Anolis sagrei: one gene and its partners. The protein of the gene in region 1 interacts with the protein of each later gene in a pairwise test. Links are inferred from orthologs where the notes say so. Each region holds a gene or a part of one and is shown in the gene's direction. Other genes may lie near its edges. The genes, in order: NR4A1, PRDX4 and CDKN2D.

What was found.
Region 2: the proteins of NR4A1 (region 1) and PRDX4 interact in a two-hybrid assay, tested with the Homo sapiens proteins (2 studies listed by BioGRID and IntAct). The link is inferred for Anolis sagrei from reciprocal best matches to the Homo sapiens genes NR4A1 and PRDX4.
Region 3: the proteins of NR4A1 (region 1) and CDKN2D interact in binary tests that used the Homo sapiens proteins (3 or more experiments, as listed by UniProt). The two-hybrid records come from large-scale screens. The link is inferred for Anolis sagrei from reciprocal best matches to the Homo sapiens genes NR4A1 and CDKN2D.

Annotation. Positions count from the first base shown.
Region 1 is NC_090022.1:139,196,885-139,206,944, reverse strand, and holds the start of NR4A1 (nuclear receptor subfamily 4immunitygroup A member 1), read left to right. Parts: upstream 1-6,214; 5' UTR 6,215-6,316; intron 6,317-10,060. UniProt on the Homo sapiens protein: Orphan nuclear receptor. Binds the NGFI-B response element (NBRE) 5'-AAAGGTCA-3'. Binds 9-cis-retinoic acid outside of its ligand-binding (NR LBD) domain.
Region 2 is NC_090023.1:86,840,940-86,851,336, reverse strand, and holds the start of PRDX4 (peroxiredoxin-4), read left to right. Parts: upstream 1-5,611; 5' UTR 5,612-5,697; coding exon 5,698-5,920; intron 5,921-10,397. UniProt on the Homo sapiens protein: Thiol-specific peroxidase that catalyzes the reduction of hydrogen peroxide and organic hydroperoxides to water and alcohols, respectively.
Region 3 is NC_090022.1:169,537,747-169,548,297, forward strand, and holds the start of CDKN2D (cyclin-dependent kinase 4 inhibitor D), read left to right. Parts: upstream 1-6,346; 5' UTR 6,347-6,613; intron 6,614-6,756; 5' UTR 6,757-6,780; coding exon 6,781-6,927; intron 6,928-10,551. Other genes in the region: AP1M2 (AP-1 complex subunit mu-2), read left to right, coding at 435-457. UniProt on the Homo sapiens protein: Interacts strongly with CDK4 and CDK6 and inhibits them.

The DNA of each region.
Region 1 (10,060 bases):
TACTAAGAAGCCTCATTCAATAAGTATCCATTATAACAGGCATGGGGAAACTTCGGCCCTCCAGGTGCTTTGGACTTCAACTCCCACAATTCCTAACAGCCTACTGGCTGTTAGGGAGGCTAAGGATCTTCCTTTTAACGATTTGTCTTAGAGCCTTTCCACATTGCCATATAACCAGATTATCTGCTTTGATCTGGATTATATGGCAGTGTAGACTCATATAATCCAGTTTAAAGTAGATGTAAATTATATGCTTTGATAATGTGGACTATATGGAAGTGTAAAAGGGGTCACAATTTCCCCTATTGTAGGGACAGCTAATGCTTGATTTTCACTCCTTGTAAAAAGAAATATAGTACAATCACTTCTCCACGTTCACTGGGATAAGCGGCACGGGACCCTTGTGAAAGTGAAAAACCATGAATAAAGAAATTGCTATTTTTATTATAGGCAGCTCTGGTGGCGTACAGGGTTAAAGCACTGAGCTGCTGAACTTGCTGACCAAAGGGTCGCAGGTTCAAATCCGGGGAGCGCCATGAGCTCCCACTGTTAGCCCCAGCTTCTGCCAACCTAACAGTTTGAAAACATGCAAATGTGAGTAGATCAATAGGTACCATTCTGGCAAGAAGGTAACAGTGCTCCAAGACGTCATGCTGGCCACATGACCTTGGAGGTGTCTAAGGACAATGCTGGCTCTTCGGCTTAGAAATGGAAATGAGCAGCAACCCCCATAGTCAGATTTTTTTTTTGTCATGTCAGGAGCAAGTCGCTTCTGGTGTGAGAAAATTGGCCATCTGCAAGGACATCGCCCAGGGGATGCCTGGATGATTTGATGTTTTTATCATCCTTGTGGGAGGCTTCTCTCATGTCCCCGCATGAGGAGCTGGAGCTGATAGAGGGAGCTCATCCACCTCTCCCCGGATTCGAACCTGCGACCTGTCGGTCTTCAGTCCTGCCGGCACAGGGGTTTAACCCACTGCGCCACCGGGGGCTCCCCCATAGTCAGATACAACTGGACTTAATGTCAGGGGAAAACCTTTACCTTTATTGTTATTATAGGAGATAACACCTCTCTACGAATTACTAGGTCTTGCAGCATACTATGGCCAATTTTCACTGGAAGCTAAATATGCAATTGCACTGGGGGACCTAGAAATTTCTAGCGAGATGAAATCTCTAGACCGTCCAGCATGACTGGAGGAAATTGACTACAGAGTCACATTGGAGGACTTAATAATCTTAGAGAGAACATTTGTCATCACAAGTTGATAATCACATCTGCAAAAGTCAAAACCACAAATGTGGAGGGATGACTGCAATGCCATTGCAGGGATCTATTTCTAAACGAACATCCTCTGGAAGGTGCAAGACACAACTCCCATCTTTATGTGAGCAGTTATGTGATCCCTTTTGATGGAGGTCAGAAAAGGGGGAGGGAAGAGATATGTTGGCCCACATAGCTTTAATATTTGCATTACAAAGGGATTTTACTCACTTTAAGCTTCATGTGCAAAAATGCAATCTTTGTAAAACTGCAGACGTTTGGAACAAGCCTGGATTTGGGAGATTAGTGCAAAATAAGAATCTCGTGATCTTGGAAGGTCGCCGCCAGTCCTCCTCTTGGCTGGGTCCACTCTCAGAGCCCTTCCACACAGCCATATCACCCAGAATATCAAGGCAGAATAAACCACAATATCTGCTTTGAACTGGAATATCTGAGTCCACACTTCCATATATCCCAGTTCAAAGCAGATAATGTGGAGTTTTATTCAGCTGTGTGGAAAGGGCTTCAGAAAAAACACATAAGATAATAACCTCTCTTTCCCAACAGTCACTAGAGTATATTTAAAGGCACAGGTGGCAGTCCTGCCCATATTTTTCCCCATCCAACCAGCCGCTCTTACCTCTGTTTACTAAGGGTGTATCTACACTACGGAATTAATGCAGTTTGACACCACTTGAACTGCCATGCCTGGGATCTGTGGATTGGTAAATTACCAACACTCTTTGGCAGAGAAGGCTAAAGAACTTGTCAGAATACAACTCCTAGGCCCTTTCCACACAATAAAATAAATAAAATCCCACATTATCTGCTTTGAACTGGAATATATGGCAGTGTGGACTCAGATAACCCAGATCAAAAAGGATATTATGCGATTTTCTGCCTTAATATTCTGGGTTATATGGCTGTGTGTGTGGAAGGAACCAAAGCACTGAGTCATGGCAAAGTGGTGTCACGCTGCATTAATTCTACAGTGTAGATGCACTGGGGGGGGGGGGATACTAGATTGAGTTTAATGGCATTCAAAACAGCAGCCTCACAACACAATCCCAGTACCTTTACAGAGAAGTAGAATAGCAGTAGTGTACCATATGTCTTAAGTGCTTAATGGTCAACATTATACACAGTTTTTTGGAAGGAAGCCCAGTTGGACTCACTGAGATTAATGACACATTGGACTGTACTTCCTGTCTGCATTAAAAATACTTTTCAACCTGCGTTTCCTATACTCAGAGATAAGCCTCGCAGCACTGAATGCCACTGACTCCCAAGCGCGGGGGGGGGGGGGGGGGTTTGAGGTTTGCAGCCATGTACTTTTGGGGTGTGTGTGCTATAATCATAATAATATACTTTATTTATATTACACTCTATCTCCCCGAGAGGACTCAGAGTAGATTACAGTACACATATACGGAAAACATTCAGTGCCATTATACAATTAACACAGACAGACAGGACATAAACAGAGGTAAAGGCTTCCCATTTTTTTCCATCTCCAGCATCTGGAGGCTGTGCTTGACACCGGCCATGGGAGGTGCTGTTGCTCCATCTTCCATTCTGAGGAGCTTTGTTGTCTTTAGACGCTCTCCCAATTGAACTGCTGGCATGTCCGCATGGCGTCATTTATTACCTCCCCGCCAAAGCGGTACCTATTTATCTACTCACATTACTGTTTTTGAACTGCTAGGTGAGTGGAAGCTGGGCTGATGGTTGGGAGCTCTCCCTAACCCAAGCTTGAAGAAGTCCAGGAGGTCACAACCGGCAAGATTTTCTGTGGCTGGTGGTTTAACCCGCTGTGCTAAAGCCCAGGTTGTTGTTGCATGCCTTCCAGTCGTTTTCAACCAATGGTGACCCCATCATATTATTCTGTGTTTGTATATTTTAATATATATTTTATAGAAATACAATTTAATATATATCTTTTATAGAAATATATCTTAATGTGTGTGTGTGTGTTTATGTGTTTTGGAGCCCCTGGTGGTGTAGCGGGTTAAACCATGAGCTGCCAAACCTACTGGTGAAAGGTCCGCGTTTCGAATCCGCGGAGCAAGGGGAGCTCCTATTGTTAGCCCCAACTTCTGCCAACCTAGCAGTTTGAAAACATGCAAATGTGAGTAGATCAATAGGTAGCACTTCTGTGGGAAGGTAACAGCGCTTCATGCAGTCATGCCAGCCACATGACCTTGGAGGTGTCTATGGACAATGCTGGTTCTTCGGCTTAGAAATGGAGATGAGCATCAACCCCCAGAGTCAGAAACAACTAGACTTAATGTCAAGGGGAAACATTTACTTAACTTTTATGTGTTTTAATTATGCTGTAACTGCCTCGAGCCACAAGGAGAGGCGGGTAAGGAATTAAATTATTATTATCATCATCATCATAGGGGTTTCTTTGCAATATGTGCTCAGAGGAAGTTTGCCCTTGCCTTCCTCTGAGGCTGTGGGTCCTTCCAGATAGGTCCTTTATCCCAGGATCTGATCCCACATTTTTTGTTTATCCCAGATGATCTAGCAGTGTGGACTCATATAATCCAGTTTAAAACAGAAAACCTGGGATCAGATCCTGCGATATAGGGCCTGTCTGGAAGGGCCCTGAGAGAGAGAGAAACCACTTCTGAATATTGCTCTCCCAAGAAAACCCTATCAAAACTCAGTGGACAATAGGCAGCAAGTACTGGCTGCATCTACAGAAGGCATGGGCCAACTTCGGCCCTCCAGGTGTTTTGGACTCCAACAATTCCATACAGCCTATGATCTACAGTGTAAATGAATGCAGTTTGATACCACTTTAACTTGCAATGGCTCAGTATGTCAGATCCTGAGAGTTATTTATTTATTTATTTATTTATTTGCGACATTTATATGCCGCCCTTCTCAACCTGAAAGGGACTCAGAGCAGCTTATAAGATATATATACATTTTGTTGTTGTTCATTTGTTCAGTCGTCTCTGACTCTTCGTGACCTCATGGACCAGCCCACGCCAGTGCTCCCTGTCGGCCGTCACCAACCCCAGCTCCTTCAAGGTCAGTCCAGTCACTTCAAGGATGCCATCCATCCATCTTGCCCTTGGTCGGCCCCTCTTCCTTTTGCCTTCCACTTTCCCCAGCATAATTGTCTTCTCTAGGCTTTGCTGTCTCCTCATGATGTGGCCAAAGTACTTCATCTTGGCCTCTAGTATCCTTCCCTCCAGTGAGCAGTCGGGCTTTATTTCCTGGAGGATGGACTGGTTGGATCTTCTCTCAGTCCAAGGCACTCGCAGAACTTTCCTCCAACACCACAGCTCAAAAGCATCGATCTTCCTTCGCTCAGCCTTCCCTAAGGTCCAGCTCTCACATCCGTAGGTGACTACAGGGAATACCATGGCTTTGACTAGGCGGATCTTTGTTGCCAGTCTGATGTCTCTACTCTTTACTATTTTATCGAGACTGGACATTGCTCTCCTCCCAAGAAGTAAGCGTCTTCTGATTTCCTGGCCACAGTCTGTGTCTGCAGTAATCTTTGCACCTAGAAATACAAAGTCTGTCATGGCCTCCACATTTTCTTCCTCTATTTTCCAGTTGTCAATCAGAGTTGTTGCCATAATATACAATAGTATATTATTAGCATAGTACAGTATCAATATTATAAGGTAAAGGTAGTCCCCTGACATTAAGTCCAGTCATGTCTGTTCCTAGGCAAGACTTCTTTTAACACAGACTTTGGTACCAGAGGTAGACATAACATGGAAAGAACATGCTATATTTTAGCTGTATTTTAATACTCTCTACTATTTTATGACTGTGAGCCATCTTTAAGGTTCAAAAGGCATGTCACAAACCTCTTACATAGGTAAAGGTAAAGGTAGTCCCCTGACATTAAGTCCAGTCATGTCTGACTCTGGGGTGTGGTGCTCATCTCCATTTCTAAACCGAAGAGCCACCATTGTCCGTAGACACCTCCAAGGTCATGTGGCCAGCATGACTGCATGGAGCGCCGTTACCTTCCCCCCGGAGCGGTACCTATTGATCTACTCACATTTGCATGTTTTCGAACTGCTAGGTTGGCACAAGCTAGGGCTGACAGCGGAAGCTCACGCCGCTCCTCAGAATCGAACCTGCGACCTTTCGATCAACAAGCTCAGTAGCTCAGTGCTTTAACCCACTGCGCCACCCTATTATATATATTACTAATATATATAATATTATATATTATATATATAATATTATATATTACTAATATTGTACTACACCATTATATTGTAAATATTACATGTAATATAAAATATACAATTATAACATTGTATTAGTAGTAGTAGTGTTATATTGTATTCCATTATAATATTACCAATATTATATGTATATACAATATATTATATTATATTTTTAGTAAAGCACAGGAGACAAGATGGAACAAGTTGTCGTTTGCTGTCTCTCCAAATCGTTGCAATCCATAGCACTGAGCCTTGGCAGTGGAAGTGGGGTCAAACTGCATTCATTCCACAATGTAGATGCACTTACTGGCACGAGGGGATAGAAGGCACTTACCTTTTGTGATGGGCCATAAGAGAGGGGGGGGGGGGAGGGAGGGAAGGGGTTGGGTCCCTCTTAAAGGCGCCCCTTCCCTTTCCTCCACGCTTTCGCAGGAGGGAGGGGGCGAGGCCTCGGCTTCCGCTCGCCACAAGCCCGAAATAGGCTCGCCCGGCTCTGGCTGGATGGAGGCGGGGGCGGAGAGCCTCGCGCTTATTCCGCCGGGCGCGCGCCTGCCTATTTTTAGCCCCCATTGATGGCTGGGATTCCGACGACGTCAATGGAGCTCGGCGTTGACGTCACGGAGGCTGCTGGCCGGGCCCGGGAGAAAAGGGGCGGGGCTTGCGGGAAAGCACTCACTAAAGCGGCCGGCAAGGAGCGCGCGCTTGCAAAGAGCGCTGAGAGAGCAGCCGCAGAGGGAAGGATATCCACGAAGAGAGAGAGTGAGAGAGAAAGCGAGTAGCCACCGCGGGGGACGGGTCCCCGATGGCGCCCAGGCAGAGACGGAGCACCTCCAGCGCCCAACAGGTGAGCGCCATCCCCTGTTTTGATTGGCTAACCTTCCAAGGAATGAATGCAGTTTGACACCTCTGTAATTGCCACCACTCAATGATCTGGAATCCTGAGAGTTGTTAACTTGTAGAGGCACCAATATTCTTTGGCAGAGAAAGTTGGGAAACTACAAGTCCCAAGACCTATATAGTATTTAGCCATGGCAGTTCAAGTGCTCTCGGGTGGATCAAATCTGCAGTGTAGATGCAAGCCTTACTCTTCGGGACTTGAAGCCTTTAGCAGAGAAAGTTAAAGACCTTGGGAAACTACAATTCCCAAGACTGTATGGTATTGAACCATTACAGTTCAAGTGCTGTAAGGCTGGATTCAATCAACAGTGTAGATGCAAGCCTTACTCTTTAGGACTTGAAGGCAGAGTTTTTCTTTGACAGAGAAGGTTAAAGACCTTGGAAACTACAAATCCCAAGACTATATACTATTGAACCATGACAGTTCAAGTACTGTCAGGCTGGATCAAATCTGCAGTGTAGATGCAAGTTTTACTTTTTTGGGACTTGAAGCCAATTTTTCCATTTGGCAGAGAATGTTAGAGACCTTAGGAAACTACAAGTCCCAAGGCTGTATAGTATTGAACCATGGCAATTCAAGTGCTGTCAGGCTGGATCAAATCTACAGTGTTAGATGCAAGCTTTAATCATTGGGACTTGAAGCCAGTGCTTCCCTTTGGTAGAGAAAGTTAAAAACCTTGGGAAACGGCAAGTCCCAAGACTGTATAGTATTGAACTATGGGAGTTAAAGTGCTGTCAGGCTGGATCAGATCTACAGTGTAGATGCAAGCCTTACTTTTTCTGGGACTTGAAGCCAGTGTTTCTCTTTAGCAGAGAAGGTTAAAGACCTTGGGAAACTACAAATCCCAAAACTGCATAGTATTGAACCATGGCCACTCAAGTGCTTTCAGGCTGCAGATCAAGCCTTACTGTTTGTAACTTGAAGCCAGTGTTTCCCTTTAGCAGAGTTTTCTTGGGAAACTACAAGTCCCAAGACTGTATGTATAAATTTATTATTATTTATTAATGTATGATCTTTCTATCCCACCTTTCTCCATCCCAGATTTGACTCAAAGCAACTTTACACATAGGTGACTATTTGATGTCTTGAAACAATGGACAATTAAAATAAACTTTTAAAAATAGAATTATAAAACACATTAAGACAATTAAAAACATTTAAAACACTACAATAAACCCCTAAGAATTCATAATTTTGATTTTCTTTGTTTCTGTCTCCAGCTCCCATCTAAATAGTTTATAATGAGAGGGGGAATTAGCATTATTTTTCCAAACACCTAATCATTAAAAACAGTTAGACATGAGTTGCATATGAAATGGCGAACACAGGTGTTTATTAACATGTATCATAGCCATCATATAATGCAAACAGGTTTGCCAGTGTTCCGGTGGAATAGTATCTTAGTCCTTCTCCTCTCCATATGCTAAAGTGCATCTTCAAAACAATGTGAAGTTCTTTAAAGGAGAGGAGGGTGGAGGCTGTTTTTATTTCTTTAGGGAGGGAGTTCCAGAGACAGGGAGTGATCACAAAGAAGGTCCCCTCTCTCGTTCCCACCAACAGAGCTTGATTCAGGGGTGGGACCAAGAGCAGGGCCTCCTCCACTGACAGCAGTTCACAGGATGGTCTGTATAGGGAGATATGATTGGACAAATAGCCTGGACCCAAACCGTTTAGGGCTTTATAGGTAAATGGTGAGATTTGGGGGTGCACATAGTATCCCCTCCTTTACTAGATTCTATTGGCTTGTCTGTTGAATAAACATGCAGGACTAGGATCTGTGTTGGTTGGGAGTTGATCTCTCTCAACTACGGGAAAAGACTGGTGCTTTCTGCTATACCAGGCATGGGCAAACTTTGGCCCTCTGGGTGTTTTGGACTTCAACTCCCATAATTCCTAACAGCTGTTGAAGTCCAAAACACCTGGAGGGCTGAAGTTTGCCCATGCCTGCCCTAAACAGACATTAGACCTCTTCTAGGCGGTTATCCCTTTCTGTCTGGAATTTGCAAAGCCCAAGATGTTTTTAAAAAATATATTGGAAGAGTTTTCCAATCTAAATAGTTGAAAATGTTTTGCCTCCCACTCCTGTGTACAAATGGAAATGTTCAAGTACAGCTGGTTTTGTTCCTCTTCCATCAGAATTGTTCCTTGCGCCTGCCTTGGCATCAGGTAAAAATTGACCCATGTCTGGATGTTTTCCAAAGGTGGAAGCTGTGTGCCTCGGTTGGACCTGAAACAAGTGTTGCGGTTGACAGATTTCACACAGCACAATGTTTTGTGGAATATGATATGCCTCCTCAGATTCTCTGAATATTAATTGAAGCAAAGATGTGCAAGCTGTGGGTCACATGATAATCTATGAAGACTTTCGCATTTTGATCTTTCCCAGCTAAAAAACATACCAGATCACCACAAAAAAATCCCCCCTTAGGAACCATCTGTATTTGGACCGATTTTCAGAATCATAAAGGAGGTATCATTTTCAGTCATGTTGGGACTTGAGTCACCATATGGCTTCCATCCCTTCCACAGTTTCCCTCCTAGGATCTAGATCAGTGGTTCTCAACCTGTGGGTCCCCAGGTGTTTTGCCCTACAACTCCCAGAAATCCCAGCCCGTTTACCAGCTGTTAAGATTTCTGGGAGTTTAAGGCCAAAACATCTGGGGACCCACAGGTTGAGAACCACTGATCTAGAGCTTTGAGTATGATGCACACCCCACACACCTGTAAATATGCACCCACACACCCACATGTGCATACATGGCCAGAAGTCGGAAGTTGGAATTTAAGACCAAAGTGAATTTATATACATAATATACTGACAATAACAATTACATCTGTATTAACATTGCCCCTTCCCAGTATTGCATTCCCTAGACCTGTATTCCCTAGAACCCAGTATTGCATTCCCTAGAACCCAGTATTGCATTCCCTAGAACCCTATTGCATTCCCTAGAATCCCTAGAACCCAGTATTGCATTCCCTAGACCCAGTATTGCATTCCCTAGACCTGTTGCATTCCCTAGACCTGTTGCTGTAGGCAGATAGTTGTGTCAGTGTGCAAAGATCAACATATCTGTTCACTGTATTCACCATGTCATGGGTTTATCTCAAGGAGCTAAATGGCACAAAGGCCCTAAATACTGTCCTATCATGGAAGCTAAGCAGGGTCAGCCCTGCTTGGTACTTGGATGGGCAATCTTCAATGAATACTAGGTGTTGCAGGTTATATTTAAGTGGAGGGAGCTGACAAAGCCACCACTGAATAATCCTTCCTTGCCTAACAGAATCTATGAAATCTCCATAAGTCAACAGGACAGCTGAAGGCACACACACACACCTGTATTTACACTTACTACTTTCCCCTCTCTCTGATGTATTTCCATGTGGCATAAAAACAAATCCCTAGACGACCCAAACTGTGTTGGTTGGCTTAAACCATCACTTGTTCAACCTGGCCTTCTGTCAGCTCAGAAGTAAATCTCACTAGATTTTAAAGAACTTGCTCTCAAATAAATATGCGTAGTGATTGGCATGCCAAAATAATCTTAAGGGGTTTTGTTTTTGTTTTGTACCTTCCAAGTTATTTCTGACAAATGGTGCTCCTATCTAATGCTGTCTTGGAAACATCTGTTCAATTGAGGTTTGCTTTTGCCTTCCTGAGGCTGACGGAGAGTGACTTGCTCAGGACAA
Region 2 (10,397 bases), on another chromosome or scaffold:
TCCCCAGCCACTTTTAACAGGCAGGGAGTCCTTCAGATAACCCAGCCCCACAAAAATCATCTAAAGCTTAAAAAAAAAAAGCAACAAGCACTTCCTTCTTAATGGGAGAGTTTACACCAGAAATCAGTGTAGATTAAATGGCAATTGAGCCAATTATTCAATTGGACAACAGCAGCGGTATTCTGAATCAGCTATAATTTCCAATCTTCAAAACAGCCTCCCATAGACAAACAATCCAGTTTTGGTGGGGGTTTTTTTGTTTTGTTTTGTCTATTATCTCAGTTTTTGTTTATTCTAAAATCTACCATCTAAATATAAAAATAAGAGAACACTGCCACCTATTGAAACATTAACTACCTTGGGATAACACAGTAGTTGCTTCTGAAAACAATTCCAATTTATTCAAAAACTCCATAGACATTCACATGGATAGATAACTTGCATTTATGGAGCATCTGCTATTAAAACTTTTGCCTTGCTTTAGCTAAGCTTGTCCAATGACTGTATGTTCCTAGGTGTGAAAGTGGGAAATCCTTGCCCCTTACACAATGTTTCTAGTATTTTAAGATGGATTGCTTCTGACACTGCCAATGAAAATATGCCAGAGCTAGTCTTATTGACAAACAAAGTAAGGTGACCACCTCAGGCCTCAGATGACAGGTTGCAGGGAGCAAAAGTCTGCCCTATACCACTAAGCCAGCCTGGTATCATCATGTGACGCAATGAATCTAACAGCAAGAACTGTATAAGCAAAACTAGGTACTATCAGCTGTATAAATAATACCACTGGCCCCCTTTGTGCATTCAATCCTCACTACCACCGTTTTTCTGACTGCTTGTAATAGAGTGATTGAATGGTCTTTCTTCTTGTGGTCCCAATGCATCACACATGTGAACACCAATTAGCAAATTTATCACATGAGACAGACGAGAGATACATTAGAGAAGAAACTGATGGTAGTATGGATCTTCCAAATGTCTCATTTGCTTCAGCATAAGCATCAAAGTAGTTTTGATGTTACTTGCTGTCAAGTTGGCTTTGACATATGGTGTCTCAATGAATAAGAGTCCTTCAACAAACTCTGTTATCTGAATTAAAGTGTAGGACTGAATCCAAGTAATCCTCCCTCAACAAAGCTCTGGCACTTCTTTAAAAGATGGTCAAAGCAGCAATGTCTCTCAAAGAGTGATGATGGAGAAATACAGGAAGTTCCAACTTAGCTAGCTTTCTGGAGACTAACATATTACTTTTTTTTTCAATCTACTTGGCAAATATTTGTATGGGTTGGCCAACAAGGGCTGGCCTTCCTTTTGCTCGTGGCAGACAAACAACAGCTGGGTGGCATGGAAAGGTACGATTCAGTCAGTATAGAGGGCCAATGCCCTGTGGACATCAAGAAGTGCCAAAGAAATACAACAGAAGAATTACCTAACAAGCTAGGCGGAAAACCAACACAATCTAAGATAGGCCTAGGCACTACCTTTTCTGTGTGTCAGGTAAGATATGGCTGTTCCACTCTAAGGTACACATTTCACTTGCTCTAATATTTGTGGCTATTAAGAAAGCTAGCTTGAGAATGTGATAATCAAATGATGCTGAACTGAGGAGCTGATACAGGTGCTTTGTAAACAAGGAGATTGCCACATGTAGACTTATGATAAAGATGAAGGAAAACTCTATGAGAATAAGCCAGGAGATTACCACATGCAGATTTATGATTGAGATGAAGGAGAACTAAATGAGATTCAAGTCTGGAAACAACAAAATAAATGTTATCTTCAGAAAGGCCCAGGAGGATGTCAGGACCAAAGAAGCACTGACAGCAACAACATAATAAAGAAAAATGCATAACCAAGCCCTCCTTTGACAATAACATATTTTATTCATTAAAATTCAGGAAAGATGTAATGCTGTCCTCTGTTAGAGCTCAAGCAACAACTTTTGCTAGATGGAATTTAAGGACCAGTCATGTGGCACTAAAAATCTTGCTGCTTTACCATATGCTAGCAAGTACAGTACCATATGGCTCTAACACATAAGAGCTAGTAATGGAATAGATCAACTTTTCAAATTATTTTAAAGAGTAATATAGGTGAGCAATCAAACTATTCCTATCTTCCTTAAACATCAGTGTAGGCATTTATGTATGCAAATTTATTTTTGGCACACAAGTAACAGTATTATCGTTATATCACTATGTACTAAATCATCCAAGTCCTGGTCCTCATACAGGCACAATTTCATCATGTAAGCTCAATAAAGAGTGATAAGGTACTACATTAGGCAGGAAAAAAAATGAAATGCACAGAAAAAAGAATGGGTGAAAGCTAGCTTGACAGCACTACAATAGAAGCGATCTAGGGTCTTAGTAGACCACAAGCTTAACATGAATCAGCAGTGTGATACAGCAGTTTTAAAAGGCCAGTGTTATTTTAGAATGCTTCACAAGTACTATAGTACCCAAGCAACAGTTGCCTTAGGATGAAAAGATGAAGGCAAGTGGGAAATTTTAAAATGGCTTGAATATTTATCAGAGTATATGTTCCAAGATTACATAACTGAAAGGAGAACAAAGTAAATGAATGGTCATCCAAAGGAGGACTGGGAGTTGAAGTGGAAAGAGCTTATAGCCAGAGAGAAAGAGAAAGGACAATAAAATGAACCAAATAATCTCCATGACCGAACAAACAATGTAAACCAATGAATAGAGTCATAACTGTTCCCAGAGGGAGGTGGGAGGAAGAAAGGTGGATAGAGATAAGTAATAGATGTATAGATCTGTAAAGGATAGAATGTAATCAATAGACTGTGTTATATGGGGTAAAAATAATACTATGTTGTTGTGTATATGCAATTGTGACAATGTTGCAAATTATTTAGATCTCAGCAAATTAATTTAAAACAAAAACAAAAACAAGAACTATACACTATTGTCTAGATTGAGAAAACAGTCCCAGTCTTTGCATTGGTCAGGCGTCACCTGAAATACTGTGTCCAGTTTAGGGCACCACAATTCAAGAAGGATATTGACAAGCTAGAATGTATCCAGAGAAGGGAAACAAAAATGTCAAAGCTAAGCTCTGGGAGAAGTAGCTTAAGGAGCAGGGTATGTTTAACTTGAAGAAGAGAAGGTTGAGAGAGGGTATGCTAGCTATTTTAAACATTTGAAAGGATCACATTTTCAGGAGGAAATAAGCTTATTTTTGCTGCTTTAAAGACTAAAAGACCTTCTGGGAGGAGATAGCCCCAGGAAGTTCCTGTGATCATATCAGGAGGACTTAGGGGGCTTCTATCATAATAGTCCAGCTTTGGGTGATAAAGATGGGGTTGTGATAGTCAAATGTCCAGGATCCCTGAAACAAAGGATGGTGATTTTTGCAACAGGGTCCAGACTTGGGTATATATTGTGAGTCTTTGTCTTTATGGTTAGTGATCTCTGAGCTCAAGTGGGACATTTGGTTGAACAAATATCAACTGGTGCTTATCAGATCAAGAGCAGAAACCATCTGTTGATTCACATGTTCACACAGTGGGTACCGACTGTCACCTTGGTCTGGGGCAGCTGGGGAACTCCTTCTGTCCGGGAAATCCCTCAGTGGGGTCAGCAGGAAAGTGAAGACTCCTGTGGTTTACTTTTGCAGAAATCATATAGCTGATACATTTAATATGTATTTGATACATATAGGAACAGGACAGGGAAAAATGATAGAAAGTGGATAGAAAGTTAAGACTCCTGCAAAGCATTGTTGCCTTGTCTTTGAGGCAGGCATGTAGGTGGGGGGGGGGGGGGGAGGGGGGGTTGGGGCTTAACACACACCCCCCCCCCCCCGAAATTCTCATGGTGGTCTATGAAAAGGCCTTACTGGTACATTATTTAAACTGTTATGTTTATTCATATCATGATCTGATCACCATACTCAATATATCCCATATGCATGGGGGTATTGAGGTAATGATACAAAAGGTTTGCTAGGGTAGACCCTCTTAGACTCAGCCCCCCCCCCCCCCGAAACTCATCCCCCCCCCCCCCAAAACCCTTAAGCAGCTGAGGGGGAAAAATCATCTGGAGTTTCAGAATGAGATGTTATCTCTACGCAGATGATGTCCAAATCTGTCACTCCTTTCCACCTGTCACCAAGGAGGCTGTCCAGACCTTGAACCGGTGTTTGGCTGCTGTGTCGGACTGGATGAGAGCTAGCAAATTGAAACTGAATCCAGACAAGACAGAGGTCCAACTGGTCAGTCGTAAGGCCGAACAGGGCATAGGATTACAGCCTGTGTTAGACGGGGTTACACTCCCCCTGAAGACGCAGGTTCGCAGCTTGGGAGTGATCCTGGACTCATCGCTGAGCCTGGAACCCCAGGTCTTGGTGGTGGCCGGGAGAGCTTTTGCACAATTAAAACTTGTGCGCCAGTTGCGCCCGTACCTTGGGAAGTCGGATCTGGCCACGGTGGTCCACGCTCTTGTTACATCCTGATTGGGTTACTGCAACGCACTCTACGTGGGGTTGCCTTTGAAGACTGCTCAGAAACTCCAACTAGTCCAGCGGGAGGCAACCAGATTGCTCACCGGAGCGTCATACAGGGAGCATACCACCCCCCTGTTGTGTCAGCTCCACTGTCTGCCGATCCAATTCCGAGCACAATTCAAAGTGCTGGTTTTGACCTACAAAACCCTATACGGTTCCGGCTCAGTGTATCTGTCCGAACGGATCTCCCTCTACATCCCACCTCAGAGTCTAAGATCTTCTGGGGAGGCCCTGCTCTCAACCCCGCCTCTATCACAAGTGAGGCTGGCGGGGACGAGGAGCAGGGCCTTCTCAGTAATGGCCCCTCACCTGTGGAACTCACTCCCCGGGGAGATTAGATCAGCGACTTCCCTTTTCTCATTCAGAAAAAAATTGAAGACCTGGATGTGGGACCAGGCTTTTGGACATTCTGGCAGCTTAAGGAAACACCTCGATGATGGGCAGGAATTGACCGAACGGAATGGATTTATGGAACTCTGAACACTGAGCATGAGATTGTTTACTATTGTGTTATATACTGATGATTTTAACCTTTTAACTGTTTAATTGCTTTTAAGTATGTATGTATATTTGACACAGGCATCGAATTGTGCCTTTTTTGTAAGCCACCCTGAGTCCCCCCTCGGGGGTGAGAAGGGCGGGGTAGAAGTAACTGAAATAAATAAAATAAATAAAATAAAAGGAAGGGGACTGAGGCTACGAGGAATGGTGGGAGTTGGAGTCCAAAACACCTGGAGGGAGGACCCAACTTTGCCCATAGGTGGTGTACTGCAATTATTCCAAAACCGAAATCCCAAACACGTCTAGCCTTAAACATCTGAGGTATACATAATTGAACCTGAAAGAGGGTCACCACAGGACCAGTGGAACACTCGACCCTCACAGGGTCAAAAAAGGGGCAGAACTCAGAAATAATAATGAAGGCAGGAGCGAAACGTGAGGGGCGGAGGAGGAGGAGGAGGGGGCGGAGGGCGAGGCCTCTGCGTCCCTCCTCCTCCCTCCCTCCCTCCCTCCCTCAGGGGGACGGTCCTGGGTTCCGCCCCCAGCCTGGGCGGCCTCCTCCTCCTCCTCCCCCTCCCCCTCCCCCTCCGCCTCCTCCTCCTCCTCCCGCGCGGGGCCTGCAGCTGCCTTCTTTCCCGTGCGGCGCGATCCATTCCCGAGGCAACCATGGAGCCTCGAGCGAGCGACGGCCCCGCGGCCCGGGGGCGACCGTTAACGGCTGTCTTCCGGCTGTCTTTGGTGCTGCTGCTGGCCATGATCTCGGCGCCGGATGAAGCGGAGGGCTGGGGCGACGAGAAGTGCCACTACTACGCCGGGGGAGAGGTGTACCCGGGCGAGGCGGGCAGGGCCCATGTCACGGACCACTCGCTGCACCTCAGCAAGGCCAAGAGTAGGTTGCCATGGAGACCCCGCGGGGGGGGGGAGGCGAAGGGAAGGAGAGCCAGCTGGGCCTCTTCCCGCCTAAACCCCTCCTCGCCCGCCCCCCCTCACGCTTTTCCTCATTTGTGGCTGATTCGGTGCTTCCCTTTTGTGCTAGCAGTAATGAGTCTTCTCCCAACTCAGTATCAATACTAGGCCCTTGTAGTATTAATAGCATTTAGTCCTCTCCCAAATCAGTATCAATACTAGGCCCTTCTGTTAGTATTAATAGCAAAGCCCTCTCCCAACTCAGTATCAATACTAGGCCCTTCTATTAGTATTAATAGCAAAGCCATCTCTCAACTCAGTATCAATACTAGGCCCTTCTGTTAGTATTAATAGCAAAGCCCTCTCCCAACTCAGTATCAATACTAGGCCCTTCTATTAGTATTAATAGCAAAGCCATCTCTCAACTCAGTATCAATACTAGGCCCTTCTGTTAGTATTAATAGCAAAGCCCTCTCCCAACTCAGTATCAATACTAGGCCCTTGTATTAATAGCAAAGCCATCTCTCAACTCAGTATCAATACTAGGCCCTTCTGTTAGTATTAATAGCAAAGCCCTCTCCCAACTCAGTATCAATACTAGGCCCTTGTATTAATAGCAAAGCCATCTCTCAACTCAGTATCAATACTAGGCCCTTCTGTTAGTATTAATAGCAAAGCCCTCTCCCAACTCAGTATCAATACTAGGCCCTTGTAGTATTAATAGCATTCAGTCCTCTCTCAGTATCCATACTAGGCCCTTGTTCTAGTATTAATAGCATTTAGTCCTCTCTCAACTCAGAATCAATACTAGGCCCTTGTGTTAGTGTTAATAGCAAAGCCCTCTCTCAACTCAGTATCAATACTGAGCTCTTGTGTTAGCATTAATAGCAAAAACCCTCACAACTCAGTATTAATACTGGGCCCTTGTGCTACTACTAATAGCAAGAGGTCTTCTCACATCCCAGTATTAATACTAATAGCATTTAATTAGTACTAATAGCATTTAGTCCTCTCACAACTCAGTATCAATACTGAGCCCTTGTGTTCGTATTAATAGCAAAGCCCTCCCCCCAACTCAGTATCATAACTGAGCCCTTGTGTTCGTATTAATAGCATTTAGTCCTCTCTCAACTCAGTATCAATACTGAGCCCTTGTACTAGTACTAATAGCAAAGCTCTCCCCCCAACTCAGTATCAATACTGAGCCCTTGTGTTAGTACTAGTAGCAAAGCCCTCTCTCAACTCAGTATCAATACTGAGCCCTTGTGTTAGTACTAGTAGCAAAGCCCTCTCTCAACTCAGTATCAATACTGAGCCCTTGTGTTCATATTAATAGCATTTGGTGCTCTCTCAACTCTGTATCAATACTGAGCCCTTGTGTTCATATTAATTGCATTTGGTTCTCTCTCAACTCAGTATCAATACTGAGCTCTTGTGCTAGTACTAATAGCATTTAGTCCTTTCACAACTCAGGATTAATGTTAGGTCCTTGTGCTAGTTTTAATAGAATTTAGTCCTCAACTCAGTATTAATACTGAGCCCTTGTGCTAGCATTAATAGCATTAAGTCTTCTCACATCTCAATACTAAGCCCTTATGTTAGTATTGAAGGGGAGTATCCATAGTGTTAAGTCCTCTCACAACTCAGTATTAATACTGGGCCGTTGTGTCAGTATTAATAGCAATAAGTTCTCACAGAACTCAGTATTAATACTGGGCCCTTGTGTCAGTATTAATAGCAAAACCCTGTCACAAATAGCCATAAGTCCCCTCACAACTCAGCATTAATGCTGAGAGCCCTTGTGTTAGCATTCATAGCAGCTGGGTCTACACTGCTCTATAAGATCTGATCTCATATTATCTGCTTTGAACTGAATTACATAAATCTACACTGCCAGATAGTCTGGGATAAGCAGATAATTTGAGATCGGATCCTGGGATATAGAGCAGTGTAGATTCAGCCAGCATTTAGTCCTCTCACAACGCAGTATTAATACTGAGTCCTTGTGTTAGTATTAATAGCACTTAGTCCTTTCACAATGCAATATTAATACTGTACTCTTGTGTTAGCATTAATAGCAATAAGTCCTCTCACAACTCAGTATTAATGTTGGACCCTTGTGTTCCAGATAATGAAACAGTACCGCATCCTCACAGAACTTAGTAGTAATACTGGGCCCTTTTATTAGTACTAATAGCAAAGCCCTCTCACAAATAGCCGTTAAGTCCTCTCACAACTCAGTATTAGTACTGGGCACTTGTGCTGGTATTAATAGCAATAGGCCCTCTCAAAACTCAGCATCAATACAGGGTGGGCCCAAAATTATAATTATAATTATTTATATCATGCTTTCATCTTCTGAGGGGGATTCAAAGTGGCTAACAGAGCTAAAATAATACAATTTAAACCTTTTAGAATTCCTTCTTTCAAAGGTGTCTTTCAAATGGTATTGTGAATATGAAAACACAGCATAAATGAGTTCTGTAATATTGGGACCCTTTTGTGACTTTTGGCCCACACAGGAGTAATGAGTTCTCACACAACTCAGGGTGCATCTTCACTGTCCATTTCATACCGAATGACACCGCTTTAACTTCCATGGCCCAGTGCTATTGAATCATAGGGTTTGTAGTTTTACAAGGTCTGCCAAAGAGCAGACCTGAGCACCAAATTACAATCCCAGAATGCCACAGTACAGAGCAGTTAAAGGGGTATCAAACTGCATTCGTTTGACAGTGTAGATGCACCTTCAGACTATCGGTTTTGTTCCTTTGCTGGGCAGGAGAAAATGAGTGGAAAAACCTCTGGAAATAGAGATATGCAGACGTGTCCCTACTCAGGTTTTTGGAGACATTCTGAGGAGGCAAGAAAATCAGGGTGTTCAAACTTGTTCTTTTGATTCCAAGAGATGATGCTTGCGTTGCTCAATTGCAAAAAATACAGGCTTGCACAGAGACTGAAATGACTAACAGACAGATCTCTTGTGACAGAAATTGTCCTGCCTTCTTTTGTGTGTGCCTTCATGATGTCTCTCTGCTTTTGGTGGCCCCATGAATTCCACAGGATTTTCTTAGGCAATACCCAGAGGCATTTTATGTCACCACAAATCTGTTTTGTATACATCACCACAGGCTATTCGTATGTGGCTTTGTGAGTTCCCCTTTTTAAAAAGAGCTGCAGAGAAAAGCCAAAAAGGTTCATCTGTCTGAAAAAGCAAGCATTAAAAAGCCCTTCTCCCCCCCCCCCCCTCCTCTAGCCATAGCGGGGTGGAAATGACCAGTAGCAGCTCCATCTTTGTTCCAAGTATTTGCTTTCTTTGCCTACGTTGATAAGAACTTTTGGAAAAGGACACGTCATGCAAAGCTGACTAGTTTGAAAGTGCAGAGCGGGGAGACAGAGCTTGTTCAGATACTGGACGGGAAACATTTCTTTTCGTGACTAGGAAATGTGTTGGCCTAAGAAGGCATTTTGAAGTGGACAAAATACATCTTGTGCTACTTATTACTACAACGAATGAATATACGCTACTGTTTCTAGAAACTTACTGTCTTTTGAGGAGCAATGGCACTATATTTTTAGTTTGTAAAAATTGCTAGGGAAAGCAATGCAAAGAACATCAGTTGCTGCCAAGAATAATTTGGTTGAGGAAGTGGCAAAATTAGCAATAGAAATGTCTGCTTGATAGATCCTTTTTTGAGTGTCTACATTATTAGACCATAGACAAAAGCTATCAATTTCCACTGTAAACTGCTTCAAGATTCATTTTATGTGGTAACCAACCATTAGATATTGGAGGACTTTTAGAAAATAATTTAAAAGGGCAGATACAGAACAGATCCATTCATAAGCTGCCACTGTACCAAATACACATAGACTAATTCACTAAGCATGTTGCACTAATAATGCAATTCCCTTGAACTCAATGTGCCTTACTTCTTAATAAGCATATATAGGACAGCACTGCACAAATATATTTCTAACAATATATTCCAATTAGTTGTGCTATGAAGATATACACATTTTCTGTGATAGTTTCACCTTCGGGCAGTGTTTCTCAACCTTCCTAATGTTGCGACCCCTTAAAACAGTTCCTCATATTGTGGTGACCCACAACCATAAAATTATTTTTGTTGCTACTTCATAAGTAATTTTGCTACTGTTATGAATCGTAATGTAAATATCTGATATGCCGGATGTATTTTCATTCACTGGACTAAATTTGGCACAAATACCCGATAAGCGCAAATTTGAATATTGGTGGGGTTAGGGGGGATTGATTTTTGTCATTTGGGAGTTGTAGTTGCTGCGATTTATAGTTCACCAACAATCAAAGAGCATTCTGAACTCCACCAACAATGGAATTGAACCAAACTTGGCACACGGAACTCCCCTGATCAACAAAAATACTGGAAGAATTTGGTGGGCAATGACCTTGAGTTTTGGAGTTGTAGTTCGCCTAC
Region 3 (10,551 bases), about 30 Mb from region 1:
CGCAGTGGGTTAAACCCCTGTGCCGGCAGGACTGAAGACCGACAGGTCACAGGTTCGAATCCGGGGAGAGGTGGATGAGCTCCCTCTGTCAGCTCCAGCTCCTCAAGCGGGGACATGAGAGAAGCCTCCCACAAGGATGATAAAAACATCAAATCATCCGGGCGTCCCCTGGGCAACGTCCTTGCAGACGGCCAATTCCCTCACAACAGAAGTGACTTGCAGTTTCTCAAGTCGCTCCTGACACAACCAAAATAATAATAATAATAATAATAATAATAATAATAATAATAATAATAATATGATTTTAGGAGGAGGTGCTTTTAAGCCTATAACTCTCACAGTTCTTTACCTCCTTTGTGTGGGCAAGGCTTATGGGAGCGCCAATGTAAAGGTTATCCTGGGTTTTTTATATTCTGTATCTTTTTATGTTCCAGATTACCAGCTCCGGACCCATTAGTCGCATGCCTCTGCAGCGTCAGGATCCAGCCTTATCCAAACTGAAGGGATTGGGATGCCTAGGGAAACCTTTTAATTTTGGCTCTGTTTGTGTGTGTATTTGTGTGTATGCACCCTTCTTATCTTATAATGCCACCCCATTCCCCCTCTTGAAAGATTTTGGGTTGTTGTTACCAAGCTCCTTCTCTCCCCCCCCCCCCCCGTGTCCCCCTCCCCCCACTCAGTTCCCCATTTGTAATGTGAGAATTGCAGCTGACTACCTCTTGTTACAAAGACGAGTGACAAAAAGTTACTACTTCCCTGTGCCTTTAGACCGCAATGAGCTATAAATGTAAGAGGAATAAATTAATACTTTTAAATGAGGGGTGTGTGTCATTGGTCTACATGGAGTCCCGTCCCCACTCCCCATTGGCTTTTCTGCTTAAACCTGGCTCTAAAGGCAAGACATGGCACGGGTGACTTTGGCTCCTGTGCTGCCCAGTTCTCACAATAGCCAAACTGGTTGCTTCCCATGTTTTCTTAACTAGCCTCGATGAGTAACATCAAAACTGGCAGCATCTGGTCTGTTCTGCAAATTCGGGAGTAGCCTCCAAGATGTGCAGGAGAGCCTCTCCCGTACAGACACTATTCCACATCCAAGATATTTATTTATCATGTCAGGAGTAAACCAAACAGTTGTATTGCATTTTTAACAAACAAACAAACAAAACACAAAGTTTGCAAGCTTGGTAGTTGATTAAATGTCCTTTGACCAGTAGCTGGCCACTTGGAGTGTCTCTCTACAAGAAGGTCCTCCATTGTGCATAGAGCAGGGCTCAGGTTGCATTGCAGCAGGTGGTCTGTAGTTTGCTCTTCTCCACACTCGCATGTCATGGATTCCACTTTGTAGCCCCATTTCTTAAGGTTGTCTCTGCATCTTGTGGTGCCAGAGCGCAGTCTGTTCAGCGCCTTCCAAGTCGCCCAGTTTTCTGTGTGCCCAGGAGGGGAGTCTCTCATTTGGTATCAGCCATTGGTTGAGGCTCTGGGTTTGGGCCTGCCACTTTTGGACTCTCGCTTGCTGAGTGCCTCTGTAGATCTTGCTTGCTGAGTGTCTCTGTGTTCCAGCGAGTGTCTCTGTAGATCTTAGAAAACTATTTCTTGATTTAAATCGTTGACATGCTGGCTGATACCCAAACAGGGGATGAGCTGGAGATATCACTGCCTTGGTCCTTTCACTATTTGCTGCTACTTCCCGGCGGATATCAGGCGGTGCAATACCGGTTAGAAACGACCAGAAGCTACATCCAAGATGAAGGGTTAGAAGGCATGATCATCAAATTTGCAGACGACACCAAATTGGGAGGGAGAGCCAATACTCCAGAAGAGAGGAGCAGAATTCAAAACAATCTTGACAGATTAGAGAGATGGGCCAAAACTAACAAAATGAAGTTCAACAGGGACAAATGCAAGATACTCCACTTAGGCAGAAAAAAATGAAATGCAAAGATACAGAAAGGGGGGCACATGGCTCAAGAACAGTACTTGTGAAAAAGATCTTGGAGCCCTCGTGGACAAGTTAAACATGAGCCAACAATGTCATGCAATGGCAAAAAAAAAAAAAAAAAAAAGCCAATGGGATTTTGGCCTGCATCAATAGGAGCATAGTATCTAGATCCAGGAAAGTCATGCTACCCCTCTATTCTGCCTTGGTTAGACCACAACTGGAATAATATCATAATACATGCTAAAACATTTAAACAGCATAAAACACAACAAAGACAATAAAAACAACACCATTAGCATCTCCTTATTATCAAGCATTGTCCAGTTCCATTGTCAAGTCATCAGATTTCTTATGTCAGTTACCTATATCTGTTACTCTGCATTTGTAAACGCTTGCTCAAATAGCCATGTTTTAATTTGCTTCCGAAATGTTAAGAAGGAAGGAGCAGATATGATCTCTCTAGAGAGGGCGTTCCATAGCCGAGAGGCCGCCACTGAGAAGGCTCTGTCTCTCATTCCCGCGAGACGTACTTGTGACGAAGGCGGGACCGAGAACAGGACCTCCCCGGATGATCTCAAGGTCCTCGATGGTTCATAAGGGGAGATGCGTTTGGACAGGTTTAAATTATTCTGGATCATTTTACGCTAATTCAGATATGACCCCAAATTTCTTATATAACGTTTAGTATGGGAGTCAATTTTACTCTTGATCTTTTATAAATAATATTCCAATATCCCAAATGTCTTTCATCTCAAAAGCTGCCCATGAAAGAGAAAAAAATGTGGAATCAGTATGAAAAATCAGTGTGTGAATCTCTCATTCAGATGGCAAATCAAACATTGAAACCAGCCACTACATACCTGGTAGCAATGCTTGGAACACAAAACAACTATTAGGGAGACTGTAAATCACATAGTTGGCCTTGTGTCTTTTTGATTTCAAAATACATTTTAAATTTGAGTTTTCGCGGAACAGACTTTAGGAACGGTGTCCCCCCCACCCCACATGATACAACATTCCTGCAAGGAGCTGATTTTAACAGGAGGAGGAGGAGGAAGAGGAAGAAGAAGAAGAAGAAGAAGAAGAGGAGGAGGAGGAGGGGGGAGGGGGAGGGGGAGGAGGAGGAAGAAGAAGAAGAGGGGAAGAGGAGGAGGAGGTGGAGGAAGAAGAAGAGGAGGAGGAGGAGGAGGAGGAAGTGGAGGAGGAGGAGGAAGAAGAAGAAGAAGAGGAGGAGGAAGTGGAGGAGGAGGAGGAAGAAGAAGAAGAAGAGGAGGAGGAGGAGGAGGAAGTGGAGGAGGAGGAGGAGGAGGAAGAAGAAGAAGAAGAAGAAGAGGAGGAGGAGGAAGTGGAAGAGGAGGAAGAAGAAGAAGAAGAGGAGGAGGAGGAGGAGGAGGAGGAGGAAGTGGAGGAGGAGGAGGAGGAAGAAGAAGAAGAAGAGGAGGAGGAGGAGGAAGTGGAGGAGGAGGAGGAGGAGGAAGAAGAAGAAGAAGAAGAAGAGGAGGAGGAGGAGGAGGAGGAAGTGGAGGAGGAGGAGAAAGAAGAAGAGGAAGAAGAAGAAGAAGAAGAGGAGGAGGAGGAGGAGGAGGAGGAAGAGGAAGAAGAAGAAGAACAACAACAACAACAAGGTCATTAATAACACACATACACACACCACCAAACACCAATATGATGCCAAAGTAAACTGCAGTAACAAGGTGAGAGGAGAGGTCACTGTATTCTCAAGAGATCTAAGTTGGTAACTGCCTTAAAGTCGACTTCAACTTCTGGTGACCCCATGAGTGACCCTTAAGTCACCCCATCCTCAACAGCCCTGCTAGGAGCCCCCAGTGGCGCAGTAGGTTAAACCCTTGTTCTGGCAGGACTGCTGACCGAAAGGTTGGTGGTTTGAATCTGGGGAGCAGGGTGAGCTCCTGTATTCAGCTCTAGCTTCCCATGCAGGGACATGAGAGACGTCTCCCACAGGATGGTAAAACATCCAGGCGTCCCTTGCAGATGGCTAATTCTCTTACACCAGAAATGACTTGCGATTTCTCAAGTCACTCCTGACATGGAAAAAAAAACAGCCCTGCTGAGATTTTGTAGTTATAGTGTTCCTTGGTTGAGTTTCTCCATCTGGAATGCGGTCTCCTCCTCCTCCTCCTCTTGTTTTGCTAAGCATTATTGCTCGCCAGATGTCCCACATGTTATGGGATTCCCGTGACACATATCATCCTAAGTGATGTGTTCAGCTGCATAGGAACCCAGCAGGACAGCGACCTCTGAATGCAGAAGTGGAAGTGCCATCTGCAAGGCTTCCAAAGGGAGGCAAAAGTCAGGCCTTGAGGGATGGGCGCTGCTGTACACACACATCCAATGGGCCAGATCCTTGTAGTGGTACCATTCTTTGGGGACAGGAGTTTCTGAATCGCAGTGTGGTCAATTATGGTAACTGGAAAGATCTGGAGCGGGGAAGCTAACCAGAAGTCCAAAAAACAATACAGATTTAATTAATCCAAGTCGCCTATCCCTGGCCCCCTCTACACTGCCACACAAAATCCATATTATCTGCTTTGAATATTAGGCCCTTTTTACACAGCCCTTCTATCCCAGGATCTGATCCCAGATTATCTTCTTATCTCAATATGGCAGTGGAGACTTCAAAGCCGGTAGCCTGCTGTTGCAGTGGGTTAAACCACTGAGCTGCTAAGCTTGTTGACTGAAAGCTTGCAGGTTCGAATCCGGGGAGCGGTGTGAGCTTCCACTGTCAGCCCTAGCTTTTGCCAACCTAGCAGTTCGAAAACATGCAAATTTGAGTATTATAGAATCATAGAATCAAAGAGTTGGAAGAGACCTCCTGGGCCATCCAGTCCAACCCCCTGCCAAGAAGCAGGAATATTGCATTCAAATCACCCCTGACAGATGGCCATCCAGCCTCTGTTTAAAAGCTTCCAAAGAATGAGCCTTCACCACACTCCGGGGCAGAGAGTTCCACTGCTGAACGGCTCTCACAGTCAGGAAGTTCTTCCTCATGTTCAGATGGAATCTCCTCTCTTGTAGTTTGAAGCCATTGTTCTGCGTCCTAGTCTCCAAGGAAGCAGAAAACAAGCTTGCTCCCTCCTCCCTGTGGCTTCCCCTCACATATTTATACTTGGCTATCTTATCTCCTCTCAGCCTTCTCTTCTTCAGGCTAATCATGCCCAGCTCCTTAAGCCGCTCCTCATAGGGCTTGTTCTCCAGACCCTTGATCATTTTAGTCACCCTCCTCTGGACACATTCCAGGTTGGTGGAGGCTCCTTCTTTGAAAGCTTTTAACAGAGGCTGGATGGCCATCTGTCAGGGGTGCTTTGAATGCAATATTCCTGCTTCTTGGCAGGGAATTGGACTGGATGGCCCATGAGGTCTCTTCCAACTGATTATTTAGACAAGCTTTGCTCTGAAAGAACTGGGTGGATACGTTAAATTCTATGTCCCCATATGATTCTATGTCCCTGCACGTGGAGCTGGAGCTGACAGAGCGAGCTCACCCGCGCTCTCCCCGGATTTGAACCTGTGTGGTCTTTAGTCCTGCCGGCACAAGGCTTTAACCCACTGCACCACGGGGGGCTCCTTGGAATGTGTCCAGAGGAGGGCGACTAAAATGATCAAGAGTCTGGAGAACAAGCCCTATGAGGAGTGGCTTAAAGAGCTGGGCATGTTTACCCTGAAGAAGAGAAGGCCGAGAGGAGACTAGGACGCAAAACAATGGCTTCAAACTACAAGAAAGGAAAAACTTCCTGACTGTGAGAGCCGTTCAGCAGTGGAACTCTCTGCTCCGGAGTGTGGTGGAGGCTCCTTCTTTGGAAGCTTTTAAATAGAGGCGGGATGGCCATCTGTCAGGGGTGATTTGAGTGCAACATTCCTGCTTCTTGGCAGGGGGTTGGACTGGATGGCTCATGAGGTCTCTTCCAACTCTATGATTCTATAATTATCTGATTGTCTGCCTTGATATCCCGGGTTATATGTCTGTGTGGAAGGGCCCTGAGTCTTCAATGCCAGATTATTTGGGATTGTAGGGATAGATCCGACCTGGGAGCTGGCTTCAGTCCTTTGCTCCTTCACATCCAGGGCGAGCTATTTTAAGAAAGTCACTCCCGCCCCCTCCCTTTTTCTCCTCAGGTCGTGACCCCTCGGCGGAGTGGAGCGAGGGAGGGAGAGGGGGGAAAGCCAGGAGCGCGCCTCTTCCCGCCCGAACCTGCGTTTGAATCGCGGAGGCCCGCCCAGCCGTCCGCCTGGGGAGAGCCAATCAGGAAGCGGGAAGCGCCGGCTTCTGCCCGGAGCCGCTCCCTCATTGGCGGCGCGCGGGGGAAAGGGGCGTGTCCAGGGGGCAAGTTACAATGTCTCCCACGTCGAGGGGAGGAGCGAGACGGGAGGGGGCAAAACAACAAACAGCGCTTGGGCACGTGTGGGCGGGGCCATGAGGAAGGAGAGGGGACAGAGAGAGAGAGGGAAGGCAGAAGGGAAGGAGAGGCAGCCCTGCCGGCCGCTTGCCCTCCTAACGCCTCGCCTCGGAGAAGCCCCGCCCTGAGCCGGGCGAGCCCCTTCTTTGCGCCGCCCTGCCCTGCCCTGCCTGCCCGGCATTCCCGTCCGCCGCCTGCCAGCCAGCGCGATTCCTGCCTCGTCTCCGTTTGACAGCGCTGCCAAGGAGGGAGCTCGGAGGTAGGCGCCCAGGAAGGGGAGGGCAGGGCAGGGCAGGGGATCTGCAGAGGGCCGCCTCCCCCCTCCTCCTCTCCCTCCCTCCCGCAGTGCTTGGGGATGCTGCGTGCCCAGCCGGGTCTCATCCCTCCTTTCTCTGCCTCCAGGCGCCTCGGCCTCTCCCGTGGGGGATGCAGCCGGGCGGCGCCGAGGTCCGCGCCGGGGACCGCCTCACCAGCGCTGCCGCCCGAGGAGACCCCCAGGAAGTGCGCCGCCTTCTCCGGGAGGAGCTCCTCCGGCCGGACGCCCGAAACCGCTTCGGAAAGACCGCGCTGCAGGTACGCACTCCAGCCTTCCCACACCTGTCAGGATTTAGTATTCTTATTCTTATTCTTATTATTAAAGGGTTAAAGCCTCACAGGTTCGAATCCGGGGAGAGCGCGGGTGAGCTCCCTCTGTCAGCTCCAGCTCCCCATTGCGGGGACATAGAATCTAATGTACCCACCCAGTTCTTGTGGGTTAAAGCCTTCAGCCGGCAGGACTGAAGACCCACAGGTCACAGGTTTGAATCCAGGGAGAGCGCGGGTGAGCTCCCTATGTCAGGTCCAGCTCCCCATTGCAGGGACATAGAATCTAATGTACCCACCCAGTTCTTGTGGGTTAAAGCCTTCAGCCGGCAGGACTGAAGACCCACAGGTCACAGGTTCGAATCCGGGGAGAGCGCGGGTGAGCTCCCTCTATCAGCTCCAGCTCCTCATGCGGGGACATGAGAGAAGCCTCCTACAAGGATGATAAAAAATCCGGGGAGAGCGCAGGTGAGCTCCCTCTGTCAGCTCCAGCTCCCCATTGCAGGGACGTGGAATCTAATGTATCCACCCAGTTCTTGTGAGTTAAAGCTTTGTGCCGGCAGGACTGAAGACCCCACAGGTCACAGGTTCGAATCCGGGGAGAGGGCGGGTGAGTTCCCTCTGTCAGCTCCAGCTCCCCATTGTGGGGACATTGAATCTAATGCATCCACCCAGTTCTTGTGGGTTAAAGCCTTGTGCCGGCAGGGCTGAAGACCCACAAGTCACAGGTTCGAATCTGGGGAGAGCGCAGGTGAGCTCCCTCTATCAGCTCCAGCTCCTCATGCGGGGACATGAGAGATGCCTCCCACAAGGACGATAAAAAACAAGCTAGTTACTAATAAATGGTTGTCTTGACTGAGTCACACACTCAGCCTCAGAGAGCCCCCGGTGGCGCAATGGGTTAAACCCCTGTGCCGGCAGGACTGAAGACCGACAGGTCGCAGGTTCAAATCCTGGGAGAGCGCGGGCGAGCTCCCTCTGTCAGCTCCAGCTCCCCATGGCGGGGACATAGAATCGAATGTATCCACCCACTTCTTGTGGGTTAAAGCCTTGTGCCGGCAGGACCAAAGTCCCCACAGGTCACAGGTTTGAATCCGGGGAGAGCACAAAGTGAGCTCCCTCTGTCAGCTCCAGCTCTCCATTGCGGGGACATAGAATCTAATGTATCCACCCAGTTCTTGTGGGTTGAAGCCTTGTGCCGGCAGGATTGAAGACCCACAGGTTGGAATCAGGGGAGAGCGCGGGCGAGCTCCCTCTGTCAGCTCTAGCTTCCCATGCGGAGACATAGAATCATATGGGGACATAGAATCGAATGTATCCACCCAGTTCTTTCAGCTTGTCTAAATAATCAGAGAATCCTAGAGTTGGAAGAGGCCTCCTGGGCCATCCAGTCCAACCCCATTCTGCCAAGAAGCAGGAAATTTGTATTCAAAGCACCCCCGGCAGATGCCCATCCAGCCTCTGTTTGAAAGCTTCCAAAGAAGGAGCCTCCGCCACACTCCAGGGCAGAGAGTTCCACTGCTGAACAGCTCCCACAGTCAGAAAGTTTTTCCTTTCTTATAGTTTGAAGCCATTGTTCTTCATCCTAGTCTCCTCTCAGCCTTCTCTTCTTCAGGCTAAACATGCCCAGCTCTTTAAGCCACTCCTCATAGGGCTTGTTCTCCAGACTCTTGATCATTTTAGTCGCCCTCCTCTGGACACATTCCAAGGAGCCCCCGGTGGCGCAGTGGGTTAAAGCCTTGTGCCAGCAAGACTGAAGATGCACAGGTCAGAGGTTTGATTCCAGGGAGAACGCGGATGAGCTCCCTCTGTCAGCTCCAGCTGTACCGCCTGTGTATGTAACCACCCTATCCAAGAAATCATGTTGGACATCAGTTCAGCTGCCATGGCTCAATGCAATGGAAGAATTAAATATGCAGTTTTACAAGGAGTTTAGACTTGGACTGCTTCCTCACCAAACTACAAATCACAGAATTCAACAGTATTGAGCCCTGGCAGTTCAAAGTGGTGTCAAACTGTATTCATTTCACACTCTAGACTAGGGGTCCGCAAACTGACTTGTGGGCCAGATGTGGCTCTTCAAGATCCTTTACCTAGGGTCACCCAAAGCGACTTGAAGACACACAACAACAATCCTAATTAATTTGACTCTCTCATTAACCAAAAAGAGCTCCCGATGGTGCAATGGGTTAACGCCTTGTGCCGGCAGAACTGCTGACCAACAGGTCAGAGGTTCAAATAAAATCACACATTTTGTGCTTTGAACTGGAATATAGGGCAGTGTGGACTCAGATAACCCAGTTCAGAGCAGAGATTGTGGGATTTTTCTGCCTTGTTATTCTAGGTTATATCTCTGTGTGAAAGGGCCCTGAGTCCACACTGCCATATAACCCAGTTCAATGTGGATTTTATAAAACCATGTGGAAGGGGCCAAAGCCATCTATATAAATAAAAATGTAATGTTAGTTTGTGGGATTAACATAACTCAAAAACCACTGGACAAATAGACACAAAATTTGGACGCAATACACCTAACAGTCCAACAAGTGTCCATCAACCCAAAACACACACACACACATAAAACCCCAGCAGAACAGACTTAAAAACCCGCAAAATATATCATATATACATATACAAATACACTCATGTACACATGCACACATTCATACACACACACATATATATGCACAAACACACACAAATATACATATATACACATGCACACATACATGCACACTTACATATATTCATATACATGTACATACACATATATACACACAAATATTCATATAGACAAATACACGCATATACACAATATGCATGTAAACATTCATACACACACGTATATATATGCACAAACACACACAAATATACACACATACATATACATACACACATATATAATACACATGCACACACAAATATACATATATACACATGCACACATACATATATACAGATACACATGCACACACAAATATACATATATACACATGAACACATACATATATACATATACACATACACATATATACACACAAATATTCATATAGACAAGTACACACATATACACCATATGCATGTAAACATATAAATACACATATATACACAAATATATACACACACATATACACACACAAAACACATATACACAGATGACCACAGCAACACGTGGCAGGGGATGGCTAGCAGAAAAGACTTAGAAAGACAAAAACCAGAAATTACATTACAACGCATGCACAAAACCACATATATACACATATACACAAATATTTTATTTTGTTGTTGTTGTTGTTATTATTATTATTACATTTATTATTTTATTATTGTTGTCATTATTACATTTATTTTACTCTATTTATTATTGTTAATGTTACATTTATTATTTTACTGTATTGTTATTATTATATTTATTATTTTGCTCTATTATTACTGTTATTATTACATTCCATTATTTTACTCTATTATTATTATTATTATTTTACTCTATTTTTTATTATTGGAGGACCTGTAAGCATATTCACTTTGAAAAAGGTTAGAATAATGGTTTAATTAGAGTTGGACAGTCTTATCTTGAATTACAGTTTTATGTAAATATTCAAAAACATTTAACCT